Linked DNA regions of Macaca fascicularis. The protein of the gene in region 1 purifies or fractionates together with the protein of each later gene. This does not show direct contact. Links are inferred from orthologs where the notes say so. Each region holds a gene or a part of one and is shown in the gene's direction. Other genes may lie near its edges.

Evidence for each region. Proteins that work in one complex are often made in the same cells at the same time.
Region 2: the proteins of FBXW11 (region 1) and CLPX purify together in Homo sapiens (affinity purification with mass spectrometry; 5 studies listed by BioGRID and IntAct, with this or other methods). This does not show direct contact. The link is inferred for Macaca fascicularis from reciprocal best matches to the Homo sapiens genes FBXW11 and CLPX.

What each region holds. Positions count from the first base shown.
Region 1 is NC_088380.1:178,789,972-178,794,105, reverse strand, and holds the start of FBXW11 (F-box/WD repeat-containing protein 11), read left to right. Parts: upstream 1-1,317; 5' UTR 1,318-1,453; coding exon 1,454-1,498; intron 1,499-4,134.
Region 2 is NC_088381.1:41,742,636-41,746,283, reverse strand, and holds part of CLPX (ATP-dependent clpX-like chaperone, mitochondrial), read left to right. Parts: coding exon 1-168; intron 169-1,462; coding exon 1,463-1,627; intron 1,628-2,435; coding exon 2,436-2,524; exon of another isoform or gene 2,525-2,590; intron 2,591-3,516; coding exon 3,517-3,648. UniProt on the Homo sapiens protein: ATP-dependent chaperone that functions as an unfoldase.

The sequences.
Region 1 (4,134 bases):
TGTTGCCCAGGCTGGTCTGGAACTCCTGGGCTCAAGCAATTCGCCTGCCTCGGCCTACCAAAGTGCTGGGACTACAGGCGTGAGCCACCGCGCCCGGCCAGGCTGCTGTTTCTTTACCTCAATCTAGAATTCCCTTCCTCTAGGTAGGATGAACTGAGATGCTCAATCATGGAACGACCCTCTCTTCCTGACAGTAGCTAATCCAGTGAAGCTTTCACTTCCTTAAACCTCTCCCAAATCACTAACAACTCTTACCGGAGAAGCCCCATCTTTCCTCAATGTGTGTTCTCAGTCACTGCAACCAGTAATAAACCCAGTTTGTTCAACGACCCTTGTGTTCCTGGTGGGATTTGGTTAGAGGGCACTGACAGACCTAAGTTACACAGAGTTGGAGGCTGAGTTCACTAGAAGCAGTCTCCGCTTGTGTGTTCCTTCTTAGCCACTCTCTTGGTTAACGTCTGTCGTCCCTCTACCAGAATTAAGCTCCATGAGAACAGGGGCATATTGTCTCTCATGTTCAGAGCTGTTTCTCAGTGCCTAGAACGGTACGCAGCAGAAGCTGGATGCTTAAAAAATAACCATTTTCTGAAAGAATGAATAAGGGGCTCGATATACGTAGGTTCCCTTTAATCTCTCAGCTCCCCGTAAGTCGCGTGACATACAGACAGCACCACAGCACATTTCCCCAAACCCCCATTTTCCCGAAGAAATCTCGAAACCCTCACTCCCGGGATGCCCATCCTCTCAGAGCCTCTTCCCCGGGCAGAGTTTCTCTCACTCGCTGGTCCCTTCACACCTAAGCCCCAGGCCTATACACCTTCCTAACGCCCCTAGAACCCACCTGTCTCCACCATCTGCCCCTGCCACCAGACACTAGCGGACGGGCAGCGCAGCTACCTAGGCGTCGAGTGGGCACTGCGGCATGGACCGCGCATGTGCGGAAATGGGTCGCACAAGCAGGATCTCCGACAAGTGAGGAGTTGCCTCGGAGTTTCCGTCCCGGTCTGGGCAGCCTTGGGCTGCCAGGAAGTCAGGAGAAGCTAGCCGGAAGGAGAACCCGGGCGCACGGCTTTCTGGGACACGTAGTCGTGGCGCTCTCGAGGCCCTACCATGAGCAAGCTCTTAACTCTTCAGGTGTGCAAGTCCTACGTCCACAGTCCAGTGCTACTGTCAGCTTGGAGTTCAGCTTCGGGCTGCCAAGAGCCAGCAGCCCGGTGTCAGAGGCTCGGTCCCACAACGCTCTGCGGGCCGCGGCGCCTGCTGGGAGGTGTAGTCCCCGCTCTGCGTACTGCGTTCGCCGAGGGGGAGGGCGGAGCTGCCGGCGGCCCGGGCGGGCTGGCAGCTAGAGTGGGTGCGATAGCCGCCTCCGCCTCTGCCGCCTCCGCCGTCGCCTCCTCCGCCCGGGCCGTTCGCTGCTGCGCGGGGAGAGCGAGGCGGGGCCGCCGGGGCCGCCATGGAGCCCGACTCGGTGATTGAGGACAAGACCATCGAGCTCATGGTGAGTGCGGCCCGCTGGACCGTCTGTGCTTCCGTCCGTCCGGCCCCGGGCGGGCCTGCCCACCTCAACGTCCGGTGCGAGGCCGGCTCTGGCCCTTCCCAGAAGCCTCGGCCCGGACCCGGGCCCCCAGCCTACCCTGGCCTCGGACCCGGCGCGGGCTCCTCTGATCCCTCGACATCTCCGGCCGGTCCTGGCCCGGCCCCCTCTATGCCCCTCGTTTCTCCCCCACCCCCTGTCCCGTCTCCGGTCCCAGCTTTCGGACGACCCTCGCTCGTTTATGCTGTAGACTTAGGTCGCACTCGCTCTAGCACCCCATTCTCCTTCTTTTAGAAAGGGATTTTTTTTCTTTCCTCTGTTTCGGCCCAGGCCCGCACCGCGCTTGCAAGCTCCACTCAGGCCGAGTGAGGTGGTGGGAAGGAGTGCCGAGGAGATGGGTCAGGGCCGCCTGGGCCTCCGCGTCCTAGGAGGGGTCTCAGCACCCACTCCCCAGCCTAGGTCTGTGTGGATGCCAGGATAGGCCCTACAGAGCTGGGGGGCAGGGAGCTTTCGGGTTTGAAGCTGTGGCGGATAAGGAGGCCTCTTTCCCGGGCCCTTGTGGTGTCCGACTTCTCGGACAAAGGGTTTCCTACCCGGCGGAGAGGGATGTTTGCATAGCAAGGCCCCAGGTACTCTGGATTCCATCCCCCAGGAAAGAGAAGCCGTAACTTCACGTTTTCCAGAGCTGCTTTGGGAAATTGGGGATGAGTGGGGAGGGAGCCATCCTCATCACTGCCGCGAGTTCTTTCTTCTCAGAAAGAAAAAAAGGGGAATCCTTGGCCCCCGGGGGAAGCGAACACTCTTCTGTTAGAAACCACTGGCAGGCAGGCCAGACTCCCCGGTCCGTGGACACCCTCCACCCTCCTCCGAAGCTTTAGGATTTGAAGCCAGAAGGGGGTTTTAGGAACAGGACCGTGAGAGAGTGGCTAGAAGGGGATGATTTGGTGGAAGAAATAAAATATGGCAGATATTACTTGCCAATGTGAGCATTAGGGAAATCAAACTGGGCTCTGGAGAGTTGGGAAGAGGAAGTCTGCATCAGCAAATGGACATGTCCAGGATTTCTTCCTGTGGAAGCCTTGACAGTTTCTTTGTATCTCTCCTAACACGGTAACAACTTCTTCCCCAGGGCTGAGAGGAGAGAGGTGGAAGAATCTACTTAACCCAGCAAAATGTTTTCCTAGCCAGATTTTCTTCAATGTGAAAATGTTTATTGAGTCAGTGATTCCACTGGGTAGGGTTGGTGACATCAGAGCCACTTCCCCCATTTAACGCTATAAATAATAAATGGTGACACTGAAAGTCTGTTGGATAGCTGCATGGTTTCTGTGGATGGTGGTGTCTGGGGAGTTGAGATGCTTGCTTTAAAAATGGAAGTTCGGTAGCATAAATATGGAGGCAGTTTAATGTTTGCTGTCCTTTGCGTAATTCACAGAACTTGACTTCTCTAGCATTCTTGAAAACTAGGAGGAAAAAAGAGAAACTGATAGTTTTTGATTTTTGCGTGCGTGTGTGTGTGTGCACGTGGGGTTGTTTTCAAAGGGATAATGTCACATGCTGAGTGATTTTTCCTTTTCAGCATAATTTATCATACTTGTAGTCAAGTGTTTGGTATTCTGTAACTTTTGTAGTGGGTTATTTTGGTAAATATCTTAAATCGACTAAGTATATTACATATTCTTAAAAATGTACACCCAGTGCATGTACTTACAACAGAAGTACTTCATATCGAAAAATTGTAACTTGGTGACTCTTTGAAATTGGCTGTTCCCAGCTCCTTCCATTTCTATTCCTTTTGAAAATAACGAAAATGTATTTATTTTCAAAAGAATTATAAGAAATACGTTGTAACCCAAGTCAGTGTATGGTAAAAAACAAACAAAAACCCAAAAAACCAAAAAAACCTTTGTCCTAAATTCACTGGCTTCCTATGCTTATAACTTAAAAAGTTTTGATTTTACATGATAGCACTTAGATTTGATCTGAAAAGAGATTTCAACCTGTTAAGGACATTGGCTGTGGCCCAAATATATCAATTTTTGCCCCTGATTTTGCAGTAGGTTAGATATCCTTTCAGATTTGACATGGATAAACATGTTCCTGCACACAAACTGGGATTTAAACTGGAATCCTTAGAAAATTTTAACATAGAGTTCAGTTATATTACGATTAATTTTAAAATGGCCTTTTATTTAAGGATTTTGATATTTCCTGAAAGGGATACCAGTTAAGACTCTTAGACAACCCTTATCGTAAATTAAATATATGTATTTATTTTAGTAAAATAGCACAGGTGCTTAACAACTGATTGAGTAAATCCAGAATCAAATGTAGGAATGATAATGCCTTAGAATCTAATTGCATGTGGCTTTCTGTTTTCACTGCGTTTAAATTACAGTTTCCAGAACTGGGTTAAAAATATTTTTTACATTGGTTTCAAGATAATCCGATTGATGGAAGAAAAGGGGTTAAACTGATGGTGTTTTGAAAGCCTAAAGCATGAAATATTTTTAGATTTTTATGAGTCAGCTTCAGTACTCAAATATTTGTGATTGTGCTGCTTGTACCAGTTTGGCACTTAATGCTTAACAAGATAACTT
Region 2 (3,648 bases), on another chromosome or scaffold:
AGATTGCTGGAATTAGCCCACATGGTAATGCTTTAGGAGCATCAATGCAGCAACAGGTAAATCAACAAATACCTCAGGAAAAACGAGGAGGTGAAGTATTGGATTCTTCTCATGATGACATAAAACTTGAAAAAAGTAATATTTTGCTGCTTGGACCAACTGGGTCAGGTAAATAACTTGCTGAGAAAATTTATTACTCATTTAAAAAATCAGAATATAAATGATTCTATAACCTGTATCTTGTGATTGAAGTATTATGACTCTTGAGAAGAAAATCTAAGGCCAGTTGCCTAGATACACTATCAATATTCCTGCATAGAATACAAACTGAGGCCGGGCGCGGTGGCTCAAACCTGTAATCCCAGCACTTTGGGAGGCCGAGACGGGCGGATCACGAGGTCAGGAGATCGAGACCATCCTGGCTAACACGGTGAAACCCCGTCTCTACTAAAAATACAAAAAACTAGCTGGGCGAGGTGGCGGGCGCCTGTAGTCCCAGCTACTCGGGAGGCTGAGGCGGGAGAATGGCGTAAACCCGGGAGGTGGAGCCTGCAGTGAGCTGAGATCCGGCCACTGCACTCCAGCCTGGGCGACAGAGCAAGACTCTGTCTCACAAAAAAAAAAAAAAAAATACAAACTGAATTTGAGGCATTGGTGTTCCCCTTCAGACCAGTCCCTAACATCTTAACAGGAATAATAAAATAAAAAACAGCTATATCTAAAAAATAATAGACCAGATGTGGTGGCTCACACCTGTAATCCCAGCATTTTGGGAGACAAAGGTAGGAGGATCACTTGAGACCAGGAGTTTGAGACCAGCCTAGGCAACATAGCAAGACTCTATCTCTATAAAAAAAATTAAGTAGCCGGGCGTGGTGGCTCACGCCTGTAATCGCAGCACTTTGGGAGGCCGAGGCGGGCAGATCATGAGGTCAGGAGATCGAGACCATCCTGGCTAACACGGTGAAACCCCGTCTCTACTAAAAAATACAAAAAACTAGCCGGGCGTGGTGGCGGGCACCTGTAGTCCCAGCTACTCGGGAGGCTGAGGCAGAAGAATGGCATGAACCCGGGAGGCGGAGCTTGCAGTGAGCCAAGATCGTGCCACTGCACTCCAGCCTGGGCCACAGAGCCAGACTCCCGTCTCAAAATAAATAAATAAATAAATAAAGTATTAGCTGGGTGTGGTAGCATGTGCCTGTACTCCCAGGACTTGGGAGGCTGAGGCAGGAGGATCACCTAAGCCCAGGAGATTGAGGCTGGGGTGAGCCATGATCACAGGCTGCACTCCAGCCTGGGTGAGAGAGCAAGACCCTGTCTCTAAAAAAAAATAATAGCAGAAGAAAATGTAGCAATTGACAACTTTTTATTATATACTACTAAAATTTATTTTGCATTTTTATTGAAAAATTGTGTGCCAATATATGTTTAGTAAACTTTTAGTTAATGTTTCTATTTGTAGGTAAAACTCTGCTGGCACAAACCCTAGCTAAATGCCTTGATGTCCCTTTTGCTATCTGTGACTGTACAACTTTGACTCAGGCTGGATATGTAGGCGAGGATATTGAATCTGTGATTGCCAAACTACTCCAAGATGCCAATTACAATGTGGAGAAAGCACAACAAGGTATGTTTTCAGCATGGTCTGTCCCCAGATTTAGTATATTGGGGAATCAGTCTAATATTAAGAGACAATACAATTCTTGTTTTGAGTCAAGGATTAAAATTCTGTAATTATGTAAAAGTACCTTTGTTACATAATTTCTAGCATACTGATTAAGGGCCACATAGTTTGCTTTGCCTTATTGTCACTAAGCTGGCTGGTAGGGTTAAAAACAAGCCAAATTACTATCCCATTAGATCCTTAATACTATCATTGCTTTTCTTAACTCCCCTCAAGACTTCTAATACTTAGATTAAGATAGGACAGGGCAGGGGCAAGGGAGGACGGTACCAGATGACTCTAGAAACAGTTTAGCCTGTTGACCTACAGGATGTCATGGATGCTGCGTTGCTCCTTCATCTGTCATCTGTTCTTGTTTACATGAAGAGCATGACAGCTTCCTTTTCAAATTTCTTTAAGACAAGAATATAGGTGGGAAAGCGTAGGCTAAAGTTTTACTAATACTAGCACTGCAGATACCTCCCGCTTCCATACTATAAAGAATTCGTATACATTAGTGGGGCAAATCACTGTTATCAAGGAGATTTTGTTACCATACATAAATGTTATTCCGTAGAGCAGATTACAAAGCAGTTGTACAAAATGATGGATGGGAGAAATAAAAGTGCATTTTTATGATGTCAAGCTATTGCATATGTTAAGTATGAAAGCTCAAGTAACTTTGCTGTCTAGCTACCTAAGTCTTTTAAAGCTGAGGCTATCTTGTGTATATCTTTTCCATATTATAAATAGAATCCTCCTTAAATTATAGGAATTGTCTTTCTGGATGAAGTAGATAAGATTGGCAGTGTGCCAGGCATTCATCAGTTACGGGATGTAGGTGGAGAAGGCGTTCAGCAAGTAAGCAGTTGAATATTTTGTTCAAGCCCACTAAAAGGAAGGGAATACATCAACCTCCCAAATATTGTACGTTTGGTTTCACATTCAATTAGATTCTGTTTTGTTTATTTCTTCCACCCCCAAACTCCGCATATCATTTTGAAATAGTTTAGATCCTAAAAGAAAGTTGTTGACAATTTGAAATAGCAAATTACCTTGTTAGGAAATTTAAAATATTTTGAAGAACAGAAAAAATGAAATTTAATCTTTGTGTTTTTTTTTTAATTCCTCAAAGGCCCAGTTAAATATTTCTAGAAGACTCTTGAAGAAAGTTATGATTCTAACTAGACATGAATGAACTATGTACATGCTTCTTATTCCTTCCACTTAGTTAGAAGATAGGTATAAAATAATGTTTAATTCCTTGCAGAGCCATAATTGAAGTCACAATGATCTGTTGGCCAACTTGACCTTTTAATGGTAACTAATTATGACATAAACTATTAAAGAGTGAGGAAGATTGTTTCACTTTTTGACAGAGACATAGAAAGGTATAATCACACTTAGGTGCTGGAAATTTTTTTTTATAAAAGCATCTCCAAATATAGGTAGTCTCAAAGTTTAATACTATAAGTGGAATAGAATTATAATTTATGTGAAAGACATCTTCAACTATTTTCTAATTTTGAATGTTCCCACCGTGTTTGAACACCATTTTATACCGTCATAATTCTGTGTTTATGTCAGAATTACGTCTTTACTATCAAAAACAACCTGTTAGGTTGACTGTTTTCCTGAATTGCATCAAGTTCTATAACCATTTCAAATAAATGTATTAATTATTAATGTGATAAATGCATTAGATTTTCTTGTTATAGAAATGTGGGAGGTTCATTAGTTATGTTCATTGACCATAATCACACATTGTTTTCCCCATTGAATCCCATTGTCTAAAGTATAATAAATAATGCACTTGATATGGTGATGCTATAAATCATTTGTTTTTTATTTAGGGCTTATTAAAACTACTAGAAGGCACAATAGTCAATGTTCCAGAAAAGAATTCCCGAAAGCTCCGTGGAGAAACAGTACAAGTTGATACAACAAACATCCTGTTTGTTGCATCTGGTGCTTTCAATGGTTTA